Linked DNA regions of Rhinolophus ferrumequinum. The protein of the gene in region 3 purifies or fractionates together with the protein of the main gene of each other region. This does not show direct contact. Links are inferred from orthologs where the notes say so. Each region holds a gene or a part of one and is shown on either strand. Other genes may lie near its edges.

Evidence for each region.
Region 1: the proteins of GNL2 (region 3) and USP36 purify together in Homo sapiens (affinity purification with mass spectrometry; 3 studies listed by BioGRID and IntAct, with this or other methods). This does not show direct contact. The link is inferred for Rhinolophus ferrumequinum from reciprocal best matches to the Homo sapiens genes GNL2 and USP36.
Region 2: the proteins of GNL2 (region 3) and SRPK2 purify together in Homo sapiens (affinity purification with mass spectrometry; 3 studies listed by BioGRID and IntAct, with this or other methods). This does not show direct contact. The link is inferred for Rhinolophus ferrumequinum from reciprocal best matches to the Homo sapiens genes GNL2 and SRPK2.

What each region holds. Positions count from the first base shown.
Region 1 is NC_046304.1:52,635,937-52,642,994, forward strand, and holds the start of USP36 (ubiquitin carboxyl-terminal hydrolase 36), read right to left. Parts: upstream 3,018-7,058; 5' UTR 2,896-3,017; intron 704-2,895; 5' UTR 539-703; intron 1-538. UniProt on the Homo sapiens protein: Deubiquitinase essential for the regulation of nucleolar structure and function. Required for cell and organism viability.
Region 2 is NC_046303.1:48,818,210-48,825,501, forward strand, and holds the start of SRPK2 (SRSF protein kinase 2), read right to left. Parts: upstream 3,018-7,292; 5' UTR 3,015-3,017; coding exon 2,888-3,014; intron 2,555-2,887; exon of another isoform or gene 2,438-2,554; coding exon of another isoform or gene 2,422-2,437; intron 2,332-2,421; coding exon 2,277-2,331; intron 1-2,276. UniProt on the Homo sapiens protein: Serine/arginine-rich protein-specific kinase which specifically phosphorylates its substrates at serine residues located in regions rich in arginine/serine dipeptides, known as RS domains and is involved in the phosphorylation of SR splicing factors and the regulation of splicing.
Region 3 is NC_046292.1:26,254,564-26,262,175, reverse strand, and holds the start of GNL2 (nucleolar GTP-binding protein 2), read left to right. Parts: upstream 1-4,601; 5' UTR 4,602-4,720; coding exon 4,721-4,784; intron 4,785-6,446; coding exon 6,447-6,531; intron 6,532-7,493; coding exon 7,494-7,588; intron 7,589-7,612. UniProt on the Homo sapiens protein: GTPase that associates with pre-60S ribosomal subunits in the nucleolus and is required for their nuclear export and maturation.

The DNA.
Region 1 (7,058 bases), on a different chromosome or scaffold from region 3:
ACTCACAAACAGGAAACCCCCATCGCCTCCCATGGCTACAGTTACATCTGCCGCTTCTCTTCCCCACCCACTGCCTCTCGGCTCAACCATCCCAGCCGAAGGTCAAGGACTATTTGAGTCACAGTTAGAAAAATAAGTTCCTTAAATTGCTCACTCCCATCAGAAAAATGATGACCCCCTCAGGGCCAGTGTCCCACGTGTCACAGGGAAACCAACCAGTCAGGTACCCCCAAGCCTCTGTTCTAGTGAAAGGACCACCTCCAGCACCTCTTACTAAACCATTCAGATTTATCATGAAGCATCTAATTCCATATGTGTCAAGTTTCTTTGTCTATAAAAATATCTGTGAAGAACAGAAAACGTAACCCCCCCTTTTTTTTTTTTTTAATGAAAGCAAGCTCAAGTTCTTTGACTTGAGGAAACAAAAGCACCTTTCGTGGGGGATGATCTAAGAGTTCTCACCACTGAACACTGCTACTGGGTCACACACAGGTAACCAGCAAGAACGAAAAGATGCGCAGGCACCTGCGTGGCTTACCTGAGACATCTGAACTTGGGTGCACTGCTGCTGCGGCATGAGGTCAGGTTCTTGGTCCAACTGGGCGAGCGTGGGGCTGGGACCTCACATTTACGCGTGCTCCTCGTCTCTGGCCTGTGAAATCACCAGAGCTGCCAGCGTGTTGCCCAGGGTGGGCGTCAGAACCTGTGGGATGCACAGAGCATCCCGTGAGGCTGCTCTCTCTCTTCCCACGATCGCATCAGCCCCATGCCCTGGACGCGGGGCAGGAAGGCCAAACACGTACCAGAATGGAACGGTGGGCATTAAGGCTGAAAGAATATTGCAGGGGCAGATCTAGGGAGAGCAGGGAGGAAAACTGAGCCAACTAGTAGCTACAGATTAGAGCAACAGGCATGGCACGAAAACGTGGCCATTTGCTCTACAGCTAAACCTTCACGCCAGTGACAAAACCAGTGAACGAAAATCTCCCCACGTTTGCCGGTCAACTCCAGCCTAATTTGCACCTTAAAGAGTAAGAGGTAACAGATATTGATCTCCAACTTTCAGATTTCATGAATCTGTAAAATTTCAAAAAAAGAAAAAGAAAAAAATCGAAGGAGCACTGAGAGTTGCCAAATTTTCAGTCTGCTCAACGTGGATTTTTTTTCTTTAATTATTATCCATAAGCACTATGATTACATAAAATTAAGGTACTTTAAAACTTTTTACTGTGAAAATGTTCAAACATCCACAATGTGGAGAGAACAGCAGTGACCCGCCTCGTTCCCCTTATTCAGGGTCAATAATTACTAGTATGCAGGACCAATCCTCCTTCCTCTCCTGTCCCCATGTGACTTGACGGCCAATTTCAGATATATCATGTCTGAGATCCATAAATAAAAGCTTATCAACACCCAGAAACGAAGAAACACAGAAAACCTCCCTCCAGTGTCCCTGTTGGAGGTAAGACTCACGTCACTGTGGGCAGGTGAGGACGTGGTCCTGGATGGACGTGGGCCCACAGGCACGTGTGGGAACTGAGTGGCCGGAGGAAAAACAGAACTCGGGAGATTTAACCCAAGTTAACGCGAGATAAGTAAGTTAACACCCATCCCACAGCCCACTCCTCCTGGAGTCAGATCTTCAGCATAATTTTTCCACTTCTGACAGAGAGATCACCCTCTATGTCATCAGTTTCACCTGAAATATTAAGCAATAACCTAAAAATGATTTCTCTCTGAGGTGTAGGAACCCCAAGAACATTCCTTGTATCACCAGCAAGCCCTTTGACATACACACTTGGTAACACTCTTGGAAACTGGGGGAGGATGCTCTCTGGAAATTCCAGGTTTCTTATGGTCCAGGGATGGCTCCACTTATCCAGACATAACGTCCTCCAAACAAACACCTTTCCATTCAAGCACATTCTCTATCCCTCCTGTTTCCAGGATGAGCCGCACTGAAGACTCACAGGGTCAACCACGTGCTGGTGGGGGGGGGGGGAGCCTCAGATGGACAGAGCTGGGCCTCCCTGGGGCGCTTTCAGGGGCGGGGGTGGGGGGGGTAGGGGGGGACCTCCAGGCTCTTCAGCAGAGCAAGTAGAGAACCAGTCCCCAGCCAAGAGAGAGCAAACTGACCCCCTCCTTGGAGGCCTGACTCTCAACATCCCTTACAGAGAAAGGCTGTTCAGGAGGCCACTGTAGCTCCTACGACCCAGGACAGACCCAACAGCACCGGAGAAAAGCAACGGGTGTTTACAAACCCCACAGCTTGTACCCACCCACTCGCAGCCACCACGACCACCATGACCGTGAGGAAGGTTACAGCCCCGGGGGCGAGCCTTTCCCACACAGCTTACTAAAGGAAACTGAGAAGATCTCCGCTCTGCCGCCAAACAGAACGCTCTCTCCCCGATTTTGACTTAAGCCATCTCGGAGAAAGTCTGGATCCCGCGTGAAGGATGCTTCTGTGCGTAACGACTGCGCCCGCCACGGACACAGGCCCCTGCCTCCTCCCCCGCCCAGGCTCCTGGGGGGCAGCTCCCCGGACCCTCCACCTCCGGTCGGTGTTCACCGGGGTCGGCAGAGCGCACCTAGGACAGCCCGCAGCGCACGCCCCCCGGGCCTCCCCGTGGACCCCCAAACCTCTAGCGGACCGCGCAGCCTCGGGCCCTCCCCGCGGACCCCCACATCCCCCATGGACCGCACGGCTCCTGGCCCTCCCCGCGGACCGCGGAGCCCTCAGGGACACGCACTCACGTTTCACCGGAGCGCCCTCAGGTGCGCCCGCGTCGGGCCGCACCTTCCCGCGCCCCAGGCCTGGCAGGAGCCCTCGCCTTGGCCAGACGCGCAGCCTTCCCCCGACCCGCGCGCAGCCCAGACCCGACCCCTGCCTACCTGACCCTCACCCGGCACGCTGCAGCCCCGCGGCGCTGTCGTCTGCTCGGCCCGGGCCCAGTACACTCACCATCCGGGCCCTCGGCGCCTCACACACGTGTCACGGCGACACTTAAAGACGCCGCCGCCCGCGGCCCGCGCTGCGGGACACAGAAATGCCCCTGCAGCTTTAAGAGGCGGGGTTGGCTTCGGCCCCACTCCCTGAGCCCGCCCACAGCCTCTTTACGCGCCGGAAACGTCACCTTCCATCCCGCGGCTCCGCCAGCTTACGCAATGACGCAAACACGCAGAGCCGGAGACGGCCCGCCCCCTTGGCGAGAGACCCGAGAGTTCCCGCAGAGCACGTGAGGCGCCTGCTTCCGGGCTCCGCGCGCGGGGCGCGGGCGGCGAGCGCACCTGCGGCCTGACAGCCGCGCCTCATGCTCACCTGACGGGCTATGTCTCACTCTCTAGGGCCTTTTGTGACCAAGACACAGGCCCGAGGCCATCAGGGCAGCCGATCAGTAAAGCTGGGCGGGCGAGAAGTGTCCGCGGGCTCTGCGGAATTCCCTGACCTCACCGCCTCCAAAACCACGTCAAGGCCGTGGTTGAGTGTGTGTAAAGACGCATTGCTTCTGCGATATTGAAAAAAGCACCTTTCCCCCCAAGCAGCTTCGTTGGCTCAGGGCAGGTGGAGAGAGCGGTTCCTAGCCTGACCTCTGGTGGTGTCTCACCGGAGCAAAGGGGGGGAATAAATGACGCCCCAAAAGGCCAAAGCTTCCCTATCTGATGCTGTGTCGTCATGTCCCCTCTCCCCCAGGCCGTCCAGTGGGAAGTGAGGATGGAGAGAGAGGATGGGTGTAACTGGGACAACACGTACCTTGTGGTTATTACGTGGGGCTGGGGTTTTTCTGAAAAAGCGAATGAGCAGAAACAAAGTCATAGGAGCCCAATCCTGATCTGTGAGAATCCTCAACTGAACTTCAGATGGAGATTTGTCCCCATGTGCGTCCACCCTGGGCCCTCAGACAATGATCCAAACGAAGACAGGTGTCGCCATTCCAGGCCTGACACGTGTGCTTAGTGGTTAAATGCGGAGGCAGGTTGGGAGGGGAAACTGGCAGGGGAACCGGGGAGACTTGGGTTTTATTCCAACTCTGTCCTAATTAGCAGGTTTTGGGGGGCACATCTTGTAACTAACCTGGGCCTCAGTTTCCTCATCAAAGACGACCTCCCGCATCTCTTTCGTTCGAACATCAAAACCAGCGACGTCTGCTTCGAGTGCAGAGCTCCTCTGTGCCACTTGAGCAACGTTATCCGATTGAATCCTCGTGGCCACCCTACAAAAAAGATGATTGTACCCATTTTACAGATGAGAAAACTCGAGTGTGCAAGATCCCAGCAAGCAAGGGGTGACCTGAGGGTTTAGACTCAGGTTTTTGTCAGGCCCCAAGTTCAAACCTTTAACTGGGGCTCTCACGGGACACCCTGCACATTCCTCAGAGATGACAAAGGAATTGCCTGAGAGGCCTGCATGCTGCTTGAGAATGTGAACGGAGATCTTGATTTGGGAGGCGCCCTGGGCCACCCACACCCCTGCCCTGCTTCCCCTTCAGATTCCCTTGGAGACGCCTTCAGAGTGGAATCTCTGGAGTATGTTCACATGGGTCCACATAGAAGTCCTTCCTGAGGCACTCAATCTCAGAGGGCACCTGAGAAATGCAAATTAAAACCTCCGTGAGGTACACTTCACCCCCTCTAGAGCATCTAAAATAAAGACTAGATGTTGCAGAGAATGTGGAGCATACAGACCCTTTGTAAGCCGGTGGGGAGTGTAAGATGATGCAACTGGTTTGGAAACTTACTTGAATATTTTTTTTTAAGTAACACAAACACTTACCCTGCGAACACATCCATTGGTCACCACTACAGGCTGGCAAATTCCAAATGCATGGGTGCAGACCTCCTCCCCGACCTTTGGAATCATGGGTCCAGTAAGTGCCTCCTGGACCTCTCCCCCCCGGAGGCCCCACAGCACCTGAGTCACCTGCCCAGAAATGATGCATCCCCACCCTCCCCTAAGCTGCCTCTCCATTTCTGCCCCATTGCCCACTTGGGCTGCTGTGCTGGGGCTCTGACCGAATCCTGCCCTTTTCAGCTCTTTCCAGGTTCCCTTGTGAACTGGTTTCCAGCGGGGCTCTGGCCACTGGGGGCACTGGTACCACTGGAGGGCAGAGGACAGGATAAGCAGGGCCATTTTCTCCCTTCCTCTCCGTTTTGAATGGAGTTTCTGGCAGTGGCTCCAGCTCCCACCAGAGAGGCACTCTATGGCCCCAGCCTCTCCACATAAAAGACTTTTTTAAAGAAAGGTTTCATTGAGCCAAAAATGCTCACCAAGAAGAAGACTGGTCTTGGGGCGTGAAGTCCAAACCACCAGCAGCAAAGACATACATGTCCACCGACTTGGAGTTGGCAAGCATTTTTATACATCAAGTAGGGGGAAGTGGGAAGAAAGACGTAGGCTGTCTGAAGGAATTTGCATGAGCTGCAGGCAAAGGGGTGGGAGAAGGTGACACGGGCCAGCTCTGAGAGAGGAGTCCGAAGAAAGAAAGGTCTGCTCCTGCAGCCGAGGCTCCTGGAATTCACTGGTGCCTGGCTGGGAGAATCTGCGGAAATACCCTCCCGGAAATTAATCTGAACTTTCAACAGACACAGAAGGCCTGGGAGCAGTCTTTTGATGGCTGGCCCGCAGCCATTGACAGACCAACAGTTCTCTCTCTCTCACTCCCGGGCATCTATAATTTATTGACAACCTCTCAGAATTTTCTCCTTGTCACTTCCATCAGGATGTAACCAACCCTGCATACATACACCCCCCCGCCCGGCTTTACAGGCTGTATGGAATGGTTTGGGTGTTCCCGGTTGGACCTGGGCTGATCCAGACAGAAACCCTGCCGGGCCAGCATTTTGGGCTCCTCTTTCTCTCCCCCCATGTAAGTGATCAGTCAACAGATTTTGCTAATTTTCCCTCTTCAATTTCCCTCAAACCATTCCCTCTGCTTCATCCAATTGCCCAAGTAATGCCCCACTCCATCTTCTGCATTATTAAAATAGCCAAAGCCATTGCTCAAACTGCCAAATACAGTATTTTAAAAGGCCTAACTGAACGTATCGTGCTCGTGTCTGAAACCCTCTCGTCCCCTGAAGCTGATGGGGAAAGCCAAGCTCCTCAACGTAATCTCTCATGGCCCCTGCAGGCTGGCTCCTGCCTGCCCCTCTCCCCTCATACCCAGCCACTTCCTGCCCTGGGTCCTTCAGCAGAGTAGATCCGAATGCCCCCCCAGACTCCAATCAGGCCGGCTCTGCTCCAGGCTCCAGCTAGTCTTTGGCCTAAAATACCCTTTCCCACTTGCCCATCAACCACCACGTCTGGCATCACCTCCTCCAAGAAGTCTTCCTGGATTGCCCCCACCGCCCCCACCCCTGCATTCCTGCCATTAGGTTGGTACTGTCTTGGGCTGGCCTGCACATTCCATTTATACCTTCAATTGGAATGCTCTGGACTTCTCCTCCCTCTCTGACCATGACTCTTAAGAGTAAGCACTACGGCCTACTCATCTGTGTACAAGTCTAAGGAAAACATCCCCACCGCTGCTGGGTGGAAGATGGTCTGACCCTTACAGGGTAAGCTGCTTCCCCCTGAGCCACCTCTGTAAGGGGCTCTCGAGGTGCCGAGGAAGGATCACAGGAGCCTGCGCTACTGAAGAGCTGGGCCTGGGAGTCCGCCTCTGCCTGGGTTCAAATCCCAGCTCCAGGGCTTACTGGCCAGGTGACCAGGTAACTCCACCGCCCACGCCTCAGTTTCCTCATCTATCAAGTGGGGAAGATGAGAGGACTGATTTCTCGGAGTTGGCAAGCATTCATTGAGAGAACATCTGCAAAACCCTACCTAGCACAAGTCCTGGCATGAAGTAAACATTAGCCATGACTGGAATTACTAGATGTATTGGAACGATTTCCTCAGCGGCTGCCCATGAGAGTGTCCTGAGCTGGGGGACAGATCACAAAAGGAAATGGACAGGACTTGTATGCCAAAAAGAGTGACCACAGCAGGCCTGAGGCTGCTCTCCTCAGGAAGCTTACTTACCAGGTTGGATTTCGGGAGGCTACCCCCGTTCCCCGGT
Region 2 (7,292 bases), on a different chromosome or scaffold from region 3:
CTCCCAGTCTCCCCAAGTCCCTCTTCCACCAGCTCTTCTCTCCAGCGTGCCACTCTTTACACCCTAAACCAAGTCACCATGGTTTCCCAAGTACTATAATTGGCCAGCTCCCATTATGTACCTCTCCCGTCCTCCACAATCCATTCACAATCCATCTTCTTTGGAATTCTCCCCAAACCCCCATAGAATATAAGCTTCAGGAGTAGCTTTGTTCAGCTTGTTCAAAGCTCTATCACCGCCTCCTAGGAAAGGCATGCAAATACTTATTGAATACATGAATACATAAATCATATCAAGCATTCCTTTAAAATAATATCTTGATTCAAAGGATTAAGTTAAAAATGACATTGTCTTAATCAAACACTTATGTAATTGGACCAATCTGCTCTTGCTAATTAATTACCTTGCAGACTAACCAGTTAATTTAGTCACTGGCGGGGGGGAGGGGAGATTTCCCTCAAAGCTTATCAAATACATACAACAGACAATAGAAGAAACTGACAGATTAATCTGTGAGTAACAGTTGAATACTTGGATACACACTAATTCTTTATAAACATACCACATAAATCCAAACTGCAGCACACCAAAAAAAGGCTCTTAGCCATTAGGAAAGTCATACCCTGAAATATGAAAATATGCTACACACATTGACTTAACTAAAACTGTTTTTCTGTATGTATGCATATATTTAACACACATATGTATATATACATACACATAAGTATACATATATACACACAGAGTCATTCCCCAAAATTGGGGGCAGGGTTTTTTCAATTCTTTTTTACGTTTCTGAACATAATGAGCAATGTGGAAATAAATGCTTTGAATTGAAAGTTGTGACTAAAACTCAAGATCCTAAACATTAGTTCGCCTTACCTACTGGCTCAACTTTAATCGTTCATCAAAGGAAATCCCAGATTGAAGATTGACTTGAAAGCTAGCATTAATTGTTTTAAAGCATCTAAAACTACCAAATTACCCATCAGTTCCTTAAGTTCTTAATTTAAGTATTTTTCCCACACTCTGTAAGTTTTTTGAGGCATTAGGTGGATATCCATATTTTGTGAAATCCTGAACATAGTTTCAAATTATATTCCATTTAAAAGGAACAAAACTCCTGTCATAATAATATCATGATATACATTAGCAATAACTTAGGCAGTTTGCATAGATACCAACGGGTACGAAATTTGCTAAGCGGAGACCAAGGCGACCAGGAAAGAAGAAAGTCTAGGAATGCTGCAGGCAGCCCCCCCGAAAGGAAACAAAAAGGAAATACTTGGTGATTTTATTAAAAGATCATGGACTGTCATTCCTCATAGTACCAAAAATACCTTCCTTGCTCAAAAAGAAGAGCAAAGCCACAAATCTAGACAGAGTAAAGATGTTGAACGCTGGCAGATGTTTTTTTTTTAATTAAGAGAAAAAGGAAAAAGAGGCGGCGGCGCTCTGCAGTCTCGGAGCAGCTCTCCAGGAAAGGCTTCTCGGGAGCCGGCCGCTCCCACTACGGTCCGCAGCCAGGCTGGAGGTGGCCGGCGACTGGCACGTTTTAAATATCACCACCCTATTCATCAACTCGCGGCACAATGAGAGGCCGGGAAGCCGCGCCGGGGACCGCCCGCGCACACGCCCACCGGTCCAGCGCAGCAGTCACGTTCGGCCCAAGCACAAAGTTTCGAATACAAACCCAAGCGCCGAAATGCACAGGTCTCAGCGTTGAACTCGCGCCAGGAACACTCCCGGAGCGAACCTCTTGACAACTGGCTCGGGTTTTCAGCCGACAGGCAAGGGCCGGGGAGGACGAGGACGCGACACACACACTCACACACGCACTCTCTCGTACACTCGGCTCCTCCTCTCTCGAGCCCCGGTGCCCAGGTGGGAGCAGGTAGGCAGCCTCATGCCGCAGCCGGCGCCAGCGCCCCTCCGGGGAAAGGCCTGCGACCTCCGGGGACAGCTCGGCGCGCAGGCGACCGGGCGCACGCCCGGCACCTCCTCATCCAACCGCCCCGACGGCCGCGGCGACTTAGGTCCCAGGGACCGCCCGGGGATGCTCAACCCGCCGGCCGCGGGCTCGCGCGCGCCCCTCCCCCGCCCTCCGCCCCTCCCCCCGGGCCGCCCGCGGGGCGCGCAGGAGGCTAGCGCCCGCGTCCCTGGGAATCAGCCTGCCCGCTGGCCCTGGGGATCCGGGCAACTTCCCGGGCACCGTCGCGGGCTGCCCCCGACCGGCCGGGGGCGGGGATCCGGGTGCTAGCGCCGCGTGGACTCACTTTTTCGGATGTTTCTCTCTCTTCGGCCTCCGCTTTCGGGCCTGAATGGCCAGCACTGGGGAAAGAAGAGACATACATTAACGGTCAGGCAGGCCGGCCTGCGGGGCCGCGTGGCAGGGAAGAGGGGACGCCGTGGGCCACTCACCTTTCCGGGAGCTCATACCGACGCGGCGGAAGGAGGGCGGGGGGGCTCTGCGACGGCGGCCGCAGCGGTGGCGGCGGCGGCGACGCGGGAGCGGAGCCGGGCTGCAGCCTCCACTCGCTCCGCCAGCCGGGAGGAGGCGGGAACCGCGCCTGCGCCGCCGCTGCTGCTGCCGCCGCCGCTCCCGCGGGGGACCCAGCAAGACCCGCCCCCGGCCAGACCCGCCCCGCCCCCCCACCCGGTGGGGTCCTGACCCCCGCGCCCGGTTCCTTCCGCGCGCCCCGCACCCCCACGCCCGCCCCGCGGGTGCGGAAACGACCCCCCACGACCTCCGCCGCGCCGGCCCTCGCCTCCCCGCCCCCTCCCGCGGCCGGGGCCTCCGCCTCTCGCGCCCCCGCGGCTGGCCCGGGCCTCCCGCCTCTCACCCGCACCCGGCCGCGCGACCCTCGTTCTCCAGCCACAGCCTCACCCCGGCCAGTGGCGCGGCCCGCCTGTCCATGTGCCCTTCCTTGGCCCGCGCCTCCGCGGGTCTCACACCACCGCTCTTCGCGCGGCCTCTTCTCCCCCTTGGCTCCTCTACATCCTTGCATCCCCATGAGCGCCGCTTTCTCCCCTCGGGCGAGTGTGGAAAGGTCACAGGACCAAGAGCTGGGCAACCTGGGTCCTTCACTAGCTGTGTGACCTTGGAGAAGTCATCTTATCTCTCGCCTTTACTTACCCCACAGGATTGCTTGACTTTAATGAAGGAAAAGTTGCAAATAGCATGGAAAGTAGGTTGGCGCTTTTTACACGTTAATTCAAGCCGCGCTCAATAAATACCATGTGTACGACTGTGTAACACAACAACCCCACCAAGTAATTATTTTTTCCTTTTTACAGTGAGGAAACTGAGTCCTAAAGAGGTCAAACAGTTTACTTAGCAATGATTCAAATTTAGGCCTGGCTGATCCAAACTTTCTGCGTATCATGCATGCTTCCTAATAAAGATGTGAATTAAGTTGATGGTGGGACAAAATGATAACTGCAATGTTTTCTTTTTTATTTAAGTAATTATAATACTTTGAAAGATAACCCGGATCATTTACTCTCTCTTTGGTTACACAACGGTATTCTTAACTGACCAAAGTAGCTAGCCTTTATTCTAAAGACGCTAAACCCAAAGAACAAAAAGTTCTGCTTGGACTTCAAGAGCTTTTTACTTTCTCAACTTTTTTTCAAAAATATTAAACCTACAGAAAAGTTACGAGTAAAGTATAATGAGCATCCATGTTAACCCCTATTCACCAATTTTTAAGGTTTCACCACATTTGCTTTACCTATGTATATGTGTGTGGTGTGTATGGGGCTTTTGTTTGGTTATTTTGTTTTTACTGAATCATTTGAGTTTTTCACAGACATCGTTATCCTTTACCCCTGAATATTTCAATAAATATCTACTAAGAACAAAGATATTCTCCTACATAATCAGAATTCCATTATTACTCCAAGAAAATTTAATATTAATACTATTATCTGTAATATACCGAAGCCATATTCAAATTCTCAAAATGTCTGTTATAGCTCACTTTTTTCCCCCCAATCCAGGATACAATCAAGGATCAAGCATTGCGCTTAGTTTGTTATGTATTTTTAAACTCCTTTAGTCTAGAGTAATCCCTGGTTTTGTTTTGTTTTTTCTGTTATAACATTGACTCTTTGGAAGAATCCAATTCCACTGTTTTGCAGAATGCTCCTCAGTTTGTTCTCTATTAGAGTCAAGTTAAATAATTGTATCAGGCACTCTATCTAGATGATATTGTATCCGTCTTAGCACATTGCCACTACAGAAAGGATATCACGTCAGTTTGTTCCATTATTGATGATGTTACATTTAATCATTTCTCCATGGTGAAGGTACTTTTTTCTTTTGTATTTGAAAACTAGTCTGTGTGAAAAATGGGCAACAGATTCAAGAAACAGACATTTCTCCTAAGAAAATATACAAGTGGATGAAAACGTGCTCAACATCATTAGAGAAATGAAAAAGCAAAACCACATGAAATAGCACTTCACACCTAATAGGATGACTATAATTTTTTTTAATGGAAAATAAGTATTGGCAAGGATGTAGAGACATTGGAATCCTCATACATTACTGGTGAGAATGTAAAATGGTGCAATCACTGTGGGAAATAGTGCTACAGTTCTTCAAGAAGCTAACCAATGAATTATTAGCAATTCTATGGTTCTAGGTACTCAAACAAATCCTTGTACACAAATGGTCAGAGCAGCATGAATCACAGTAGCCAAAAGGTTAGAAACAACCCAAAAATATCCACCCATGTATGAATGGATAAACAAATTGTGGTAAAGACATACAATGAAATATTTTTCAGCCATAAAAAGGAATGCAGTGCTGATACAATGTGCTACAATATGGATGAACCTCAAAACCATGCCAAGTGAAAGAAACCAGGCACAAAAAGTCACATATTATGAGTCAATTTTATGAAACGTCCAGAATAAGCAAATCCACAGAAAGCAGTTTGGTGGTGGCAATGGCTGGGGGGAGGGAAATGAGGAGCCACTGCTTAATGGGTACAGGGTTTTGTTTTGTAGTGAGGAAAATGTTTTGGAGCTAGGTAGAGGTGGTGGTGGCCACCTCTATCTGTAAATGTACTAAATGCTGCTGAATTGTTCACTCTAAAATGGTCAGTTTCATGTTATGTGAATTTCACCTCAGTTGTTTTGTTTGTTTGTTTGTTTTGTTTTTTAAGTAATCTGTGGGATAATACTTTGAGACTGTGTGAGCCTTTCCCCTAGAATCTTTCACTCTTTGTGTTAGCATCCATTCATGATGCTTGCCTGAATCAATTATTACTATAGTGGTTGTAGAATGATATTACACTCCTATCATTTCATCTGTTCCATCTATGCTAATTAGGTGATATTTTTATGTGAGGAAAGCTTTCATTTCGTTCCCACCACCTCTGTTTTCTGTTTGTTTTTGGCTTTTTTGTTTTTGTTTTTAGTAGCAATATTGACAGTAATTACTATCACCTTAATTTTTGATTCTTGAATTATCTTATATTTGACCAGGGAAGACACTTTCCACTTGCAATCCTTTGCACATGTCCCAGTTTTTGAGTACCTGTTTACTTTCTAGCACATGATATTCCAGGAAACCTGTGCTTTCCCCAACCAGGAACCAGAACCAGCCATTTCTCCAGTTTTGGCTCCTTACAGAAGGTGATTAGAAGCTTTAAACCAGAGAAATCTGAGTTTAAAATCAGTTTTTTATTTTTAACAGCTTTATTGAGACATAATTCACATACCACACAATTCACCCATTTAAAGTTCAAACTTCAATGGTTCTCAGTATATGCACATGGTGTGCAACCACCACCAAAGTCTAATTTTAAAACATTCTGTCATTCCTAAGAGATACTCACTACATACCTATTAGGCTTCTTCTCCCAACCTCCCTTTGCCCAAGCCCTAGGCAACCACTGATCTCCTTTCTGTCTCTATAGACTCACCTATTCTGGACAAATCATATAAACACAATCATACAATATGTGGCATTTTGTGACTGTCTTCTTTCACTTAATGCTGAAACCAATTTCTGCTACTTAATTTCTGAATAACATTGGGCAAGTTACTTAATTACTGGAAAACAGTAATAATATTAATACCGACCATCCTAGATCAATATGATAATCAAAGAAGATAAGAAAATATTCAATAAATACGAATTATCATTAACAATGGTTGAGAAAGATTATCCAATCTGTTTGCTGGATCTCTTGTATTCATTTATTCAACAAATACATACCAAACACCTATTATATAGCAGGCATTATTCTAGATATTGAGTCTACAGCAGTGAACAAAAGCACACAAAAATCTCCTTGCCCTCATGGAGCTTACATTCTACTGCCAGAAGACAGAAAATAAACTAAATATGTAAAATAGATATAAACTATGCTTACTATAGTAAATGGCAGTAACATCTATGAAAAGGACAAAAAAACAAAACAGTAACCTGTTGGGAAAGTGTTTAGGAAAGTCCCTGAGAAGGTAACAAAGACCTAAAGTCTTTAAGGTCTAGTCTTTTTTACTTCTATAAATTAGGAGAGAGCTCTATTTGCCACTGAGAATATTTGTGAATTGCTTTGAATGTGTTAAATTAAAATAAACCAACCTAATTGTCAATAAGCACCTTAACATGTACTATATTAGATGCTTAAAGAAAGAATAACAAATTAAAGACCTAGTCTCTGCCAATGTATAAATTAAAGTTTTCTTTAAGATGCATCATAATTTAGAATGACATTTTAAAGGAAATACCAAAAAAGGAAAGGAAAAGAGTAATAGAGTATGGGTTTAATTTTTTTATTCTACCATCATTTATGGCTACATAAATAATTAATTATGTGAATATTATAAGTCAGAAGGGGAAGTATTAGAGCTCTGTAACAGTCCAAAAGAAGTGAAAAGGGCAGTACATATGCATTTCCCCCCAACCTAGTACAACAGAATTCAAGACAAAAGTATCATATTAATTTTTACCAAATACAAGAGAAAATTACAGAATGCTGTAAATCCAACCACTCTCTGATATTTCCAAGTACAGCTACTAAATCATGCTGTGTGTGTGTGTGTGCGCGCGCGCGCGCGCGCGCGCGCGCGCGCGTATGTGTGTGAATCTTAGGAGATATATTCAATATGCCATAGAATTGGAAACAGATTTGAGAGGTCATATAATCCATCTTGGGGCCTGTAGTGGGTGAGAACCTGGCCTCCTTCTAAAGGCTCTCCATCACTTAAATTTTTAGGAAAATTACTTTATATCTGATCTACACTTTTTATTATGAAGCTTAGGCCTGTCTCTT
Region 3 (7,612 bases):
CAATCCAAGGGACCTGGTTAACATTTTTAAAAAGTGTTTTCTTAAGGAAAAGGGGGAGGTGGGGCAGGAGATGAGGGGGTAAAGAATTACACAAAGATTTAGTCTAACGGCTTAAAAATCAAAAGGATCGTTGGACAGATAGATATCAAGTGTAATAGGAAACACACTGATCCTGGGGAGATGATTTAATATGGGCCCTCCAGCCTCCTTGGAGCTTAAACAATTATCTACAATTTGGAATTATACTTTAAATTCCCACATTGGTGTGTATTCTGGATCTATTTCTCAGGACGCAGCCAGCAATCTTGAGTTATCTAAACCAGGCTGAAAATTAGAGGCCATTAATAGCATCTCATAAAAAACGGCTTCTCAGGTTTTTTTAAGGGGAATATGCTGAGGACCACAGGGATTCAATGATAGGAAGAAGCAAAATGCTGTTAGTTATTTTTCCAAAGCTTAATCTAGGGATCTTTTTGAAGAGCTCCTTACCCAGCCATGAGATGAACGCCAAAACCAATACAGACGATGTTTTTCCCATTTAGAAATGGTGACCAGAAACATCATCCATGAAGAGATGTTCCCTGGAGTTCCCAGAGGTAAGGATCTTAAGCTACTTTTCATAACCATCCGGACCACTAGTTTGCCGTATCCTGGTCCCCAAAATCCCTAGGCATCCTAGACTGAAAACTGAGGGCAATGGGGCCCACAAAAACTCCACTTTAATACACCTAATTTTTCTTCTATTCCCTTGTAAACTGTTGGTGTTGTATGAGCAAGAACTCTATTTATTTTCTACAAACGAAACACAACAACAAAACCCTGAAAACATATTGCAAGTGCTTCCCTGTCCTTCCAGGCTCCCAGAACCTCTGCTTGCAGGCTAGTAACTGTTTCCCATTGAGCAGCAGCCACTGAAGGGGCCTAACTCTTGGCCCCAGCAGGCAGGGGTCAATTCATCATGGACTTGCCAGAGGAGAGACACAGGAGACTGAAAAGAGAAGCCTCTGCTCTCAGTTCAATTGGGAAGGATAAACCAACAAGCTGGCACTAATTAAGAGCTAATGGCCTTACAATGGAGCATTGCCAAAGGATAACGACCCTCCAGCTGCAGCATAAATATCAAGGCATTTGGGGCAGAGCCAAGACATATATTTCCAGAGTGCATTAGACACTGCAGCAGCCTTCCTCACCGTGGTTCTGCTGAGAAAAATGAGAGGATTTAAGATAGGTGGGGAAGGAGCTGGGTCTTACTAGGACCACCATCTGGTAAGCCGGTCAGAAAGCCTCAGGGTGACTTTGGGAAAATACTTTGCTTTTCAGATCTCAAAGTTTTGTGTATACAAGAATCACAAGACAAGCTCGTACAAATGTGTATTCTCCGGGCCCCACCTTCAGAGGGTCTCATTTCATTACCTCTGGGGTGAAGCCCTGGAGTCTGCATTTTTAACCTGTTCCCCCAAGGGATTCTGATGAAGGTGGTCCTCAGATCATACTTTGAAAAACGCGACTGTAGAAGTTGCTGCTCCTTGCACATTAGACCCTAATGAAAAAGTTTTTACGGAATGAAGAAGAAAGTAAGGTTAGATTCTCTGCTTCCTATGGAAACACCAGCCCGTTCTTTCCTATTAGAACTTGGCAGGAGGCTGTTGCAGGAGGATAGAGAAGAGTAGCATTTTCAGCCAGTTCCTGTTGGGGTCTTCCCATTCACACCGACCTGTGGTTCCTGCAAACAAGAGTTCAGGGAATGAGGTGCTAACCATGGATCTGGAGGAAAGGAGAAAGCAGCCCATCTCCATGGTGTGTAGCATGTCTGCTATACTTTCATACACTGGAACTGTTATGAGCACGCTGCAATCTTTCAGAGTAGTTAATATGTCTGTTTTAAAGCTGAGGAATTATAGGCCTGGAGGTGTATCTTGCCTCCTCTGGTTACCACGACATCAGAAAGGAGAGTTAAAAATAGTCATTGTATTATAATTGTGGCAAGCAGGGCACGCAAACCAAACCAATAACTTAAGCTTGACCCACCTTGATCAGGCTTATTTTCAGCTGGTAGAACTGAGGTTGGTTGTCAGGATCAGAAAATAGTGTTGTAAAAGAATTGATGGATCAGGTTATAAAAATAGATGGAAAGTTTGTATGATAAACGCAAGCTGAGTATGAGAACAGGAGAGAAACAACCCACCATATCATCTGGGAAAATGAAACTCCTTGGCAAGACTTCACAACAGCCTGATTCAAAATTTCATAATGAAATTATGTCTCTGATCAAAGCCTGAATGAGCTCATGGGCTGATTTTTGCCATTCGTGTTTATTCTGGTTTGAACCAAATTGAGGCATCAGAAACACATTATCCTAGTCTTCTCTCTGGGAGTGGGCTATTGCACCCTCATTTGGGGGACCAAAGGGACAGTGTGAGGCAGAACGAGACATCTTTTGATCCTCATTCAGCATGAAGTTATTTCTCATCATAGATCATCTCTCAGAGACTCCCTCAGACACCATGTCAGGCTCAGGGACTTTCTAGCAAAGTTGTGTTTAATCTCAGGATACTTGCCCTGGGGGCAATAAAAGTGAGTCTCAAGGGACAGAAGGTATTTCCTACTCTTGTCTAGGACATGGCCTGCTTTTGCTCTAGAAAGAATGTTCTGGGGCTTGTTTGTTTTAGACTCAGAAATAAAGAATCATCCCTCTCACAATTAGAGTACCTCACTTTATACCAAGTTGTTTGTTTTTACGAGACGAGCTTCACCACAGGGTGGAATCCACCTTCCTCGGGCCTAACCACCTCTTCTCTGATCCTGAAGGCACAGCGACAGGCACTTCCTGACAACTCGAGGTGCTAAAAAAAAAAAGAAAGAAAGAGAGAGAAAGCTTCTTGGTTGAAACACTGGCATCTAGAAACTGTATTTTGACTAGTAGAAACAGAAACTCTTGGGTCTTACCACTGTCATTTCCCCTCAGGGCAAGAGGCATTCCCATCTGCTACTGACTAAATGTTTGTGTCCCCTTAAAGTTCTTAGGTTAGAACCTCTAATCCCCAATGCAACAATACTTGGAAGTGGGGCCTTTGGGAGGTAATTAGGTTTAGATGAAGTCATGAGGGTGGAGCCCCCATGATGGGATTAGTGCCCTTATAAGAAGACGAGAGCAGTCCCTATCTCCCCAACATGTGAGGACAGTGAGAAGACAGCTATCTGCGAGCCAGGAAGAGAATTCTCACCAGGAACCCAACCAGGCTGGTACCCTGATCTTCCCAGCCTCCAGAATTGTAAAAAATAAATGTCTTGTTTAAGCCATGCAGTCTACAGTATTTTGTTACAGCAGGCAGAGCTAAGACACCATCTATTCACTCCTTCCTTCAGTGAATAGTTACTGAATCCTTACTAAGTTTCAAGTGCTGTTCTAAATCATGGAGATACAGCAGTGGACAAACTTACAAGGTCCCTGCTCTCAGGAAGCTTACATTCTATTTTTGGGGAAGCAGCCGATAAACTTGTAAATAACATAATTTCATATAGTGATAAATGCCATGAAGTAAATAAAATAGAATAATGTGACGGAATGACTGCAGAAGGGTGAGAGATGGCTGATTTAGACAGTGTTGAAAAACAAAACTCAACCAAGTAAATTTGAAGATCTAATCGGCTTTATTAAGTGATTCACAGAATCGGGCAGCATCCCATATCAAGTTTTGGTTTGGTGACATGGCTTAGCCACTATGCCTCCATTTTGGCCTGCTGTTTCTTTTTTTTAACAACAGGAAAGACTTCTCCCAATAGGAAGGGTTGCCAGATAAAATACAGTATGCCCAGGTAAATTTGAATTTCAGACAAACAATGAATTTTTTAAAATATAAGTATGTCCAAAACATTGCATGGGACATACTTATACTAAAAAATTATTCATTGTTTATCTGAAATTCAAATTTAACTAGTCGTATTTTTATTGGCTAAATCTTAGGACCCTACCCAACAGGTCACATTTCGGCTGAGAACTGAATGACCAGGGGAAACTAGCCATGCAAAGATTCAGGGAAAGAATGATTCAGGTAACGGGAACATTCACTGTAAATGTCAGAATAACCAGAGGGAAGGAGGTACAAATGAGGTCAGATAAATAGGCAGGGGCCAGATCATGCAGAATTCTATAGGAATGACCAGGAGTTGGAGTTTCAATGTCTCTGTCTGTCTCTGTCTCAAGCTCTAAGAGTGATGATAAGCCATTGGAGTTTTAATGAGCGCGTGACAAAATCTGATTGATATCTGGCTGCTGTGTGGTCAGTCGTTTTTGGAAGGGCTTAGAGGACAAATTCAGATAATTAAACTTAAGTTTGTGCCATGGTCCAGGGAAGAGGCTTCTGTGTTTGGGGGGTGGGCCCAACTAGGGGCTCTGGGCCCTTGGTCCTAGGTATCTAGGCGGTTGCTATGGAGGGGCAGCTTGACGGTTGCTAGGGAGAGAGAGAGGGGCGGGGGCTGGGCGCAGGGCGCTGTGGGAGCGGCCCGCACGGGGGCGGAGCCCGGAATGCGGCCGCGCGCTCAGCGAGTTCGCAGGAAGTCGCCCTGGGGAAGCAAGGGGCGCGAGCGGAAGTGATGTAGCCCTTGCACACGTGGTCTTGCGTGGTTCATGCGGGTCACTTCGGCGGCTCTTGGAAAGTGACGAACTCGTTTACCAGCCGTAGGCCGGATCTAGCACTCCGGTCCTCGTCCCGTCGGCAAGATGGTGAAGCCCAAGTACAAAGGACGGAGCACCATCAATCCATCTAAGGCCAGCACAAACCCCGGTACAAGCGGCGGAGCTCGCGGAGGGTGGAGCTTGGAGGAAGCTTGGGGGGAGGGCTTCGAGGAGACGGGGGGGAGGGGGGGAAACACGGGTGGCATTGCTTGGAGTGACTTCGAGCTGTGTGGCTATTGGGGATGAGGACGGAGAAGGTGGTTTCTTCTTTCGGAGGCACTGAGGAGGGCTGACATCTTGCACGCCTGTCACGACTAGGTGTCAGGCACCGGGTCTAAAGCTGGGGAAAGTGAACATTCAGGCCTGGCAGCCGTGGGGCGACTCCAGTTGTGAGATGCAGAGACTGGGAGGCTCTGAGCTGGAAGCGGCCGTTAAACTTGACCTCTTCTTGCGTCTTAGCGTGGGTCAGGTGTTGAAGCTCCTCCCCCAGTGTATTTCAGTCTTGTATGATTCCAGCTTTCCAACTCAAGGAATTGCCAGAAGTAAATTAGATAAAGTCAGATGCAAAGTGATGTAAGGCCAATCCATGTGGCCTTTTATACTTGACCACATTTGCCTGTCACCTTAGCTTTGACCATTTAAATGAGAAAGGGATTGTAGATTTGGCTCTTGGAGTCATCCTGTCTAGCAAAGTGCAGAGAAAATCCTACAGATAAATAAAGATGTTTTTGGAGATGTCTATGAGTTGTCTAGGTTCTACCTAAAGGATGAACAAGACAGCCTTTGGAGGAGTCTGTTCCATTCAGGTTTAGTTGATAAAACTGTTTTTAAATATGCTTTAAAGTTTTTGATGACTTGAATTCATGTTGAATGTTTTCTCTGGATTGCTGATACTCAGTTTGTGTAGACTTAGAATGTTAGGAACCCCCCCCCCCAAAGGACCTTAGAGATCATGAGGTTATAAGTGAAGATACAGCCAAAATAGGGGAAGTGGCTTGTCACAGTTGGTACAGTTAATAAGCAGTAGGGCTGCCACTCCTGTGATGTTAGCCTGTTTACAACTGCATGACTTCAAGAGTAGACAGGTGATTTGAAGGGAGTTACAGCATAAATCACCCTCTGCTTATTTGTTCTCTTTCTCTTTCAACTATAAGGCAAGAATTGCTAGCTATTGGTTAAACTAAAATCAAACATTAGGAAGTTAAGAAACTACTACATTAGGAACCTTGTGTCAGAATTGTAGTTCCCACGGTGCCTTGCATGTAGCAGACACTGGTATTTGTTAAATTGAGACCCAGAGGTAGGTGTCTTAGTGGTTAAGAGCACAGATAGTGGTCAGATGCTTTTGTTTAAATTGTGGCTCTGCCATTTAGGAGCGGTGTGATATTGGGCAAGGGTCTAACCACTGTGCCTCAGCTTCTTAGCCTACAGAATGGGGGTAATGTGTCCCTCTTTATAGGATTATTGTATGGATTACATGAGACAATGCCTGTGATGTGGACAGCACAGGGCCATAATTAATGCCCCAAAATATTGGCTGTTGTCACTGTCAAACACAATCCTACCGAGGCTCAAAGATTAGGTCAGGTGTGTCATGCCATGTAGCTTCCAGTAATTATAATGTGGGCACAACATACGGAAAAAGTCGAGATTTTTCAGTGAGGCGGCAGCCTGCCTACTCTGAATGAACTAGTTGGTGCGTTGGAAGCAGTGATCAAACTTAGACTTATTGGTTATCAAATAGTATGCGGTCTACTTGTGTGTTTCCTAGATCGAGTACAGGGAGCTGGAGGCCAAAACATGAGGGACCGGGCCACAATCAGGCGCCTGAATATGTACAGGCAGAAGGAGCGCAGGTGAGCATTGAGCAGTCACCCTTTCCCCCCCCTCTATGCCCTTGACTTGTAGCTGGGACCCATTGAGTTTTTGATAGTCCCACCCCCGCTATATCCCCAAGGCCGGGTAGTGTGATTTCAACTATCATTTTCTATGGGTGTTGTTATGATAAATTGTGAATTTTTTGGTTACAGACATGGGTAGTGTGGGTGGTGAAATCATGATTGTGTCACAACAGCTAGAGGTCTTGTTCCTCACAGTTTCGGCCCCCACAAGTGTAAATCTCAAGTTGAATATCTGTCAGATAGAAATCTGGTTTTCTTTAACAAGGCATATAGGACTGCCTTGAAAGCAGCCAGAGGACTTGTTTCTAATGCCAAACTTTAGATCACAACGTTGTGGCACTTAGAAACTCATCCCAACGCTGAGTTCTGCTGAGGCAGCCTCTGCTACAGAGACTCGCGGAGTGTGGCGTTTCGCTAGCTGGTCTTAATTTGTTTGGTAATTAGAGATTCTTCATCCGTTCTAAAAGATGTGTCTAAAACACCAACGTCAATGAACTTAATCTGCCTTAGTCACCTACTCTGCAGTTTGTTTTAGAATTTTGAGTTACAGCATAAATCACCCTCTACTTAAAATTCATTTAAACCAGCCTTCAAGTAATTACCCAAAAAACTCAACTATGTGATTTTTTTTTTTAAAGCAAAAAACAGTAAACAGATTTTTAAACCTTGGCATTATTTGTTATTCATCTAGCAGAAATCATTATGTGCTCTGTTGCAAGAGGTTAAATGGCTTTTGGGCAATCTGTTTCAAATGTAGTACTTTTTGTTTACTGAAATCTGTATTTCATGATCATTTACAACCAAAAAAAAAAAAGAAAAGAAAATGTCCTTTTGATGGAAAGGGTATTCTGTAAACCAAACTTTGCTGTTGCCTTTCTTCTGTTGTCAACCAAAATCTGTTAATTTCCTCAATTTAGGAATAATCGTGGTAAAGTGATTAAGCCTTTGCAATATCAATCAACGGTGGCTTCTGGCACAGTGGCAAGAGTGGAGCCAAATATTAAATGGTTTGGTGAGTATTGTCCTCTCTTATTTT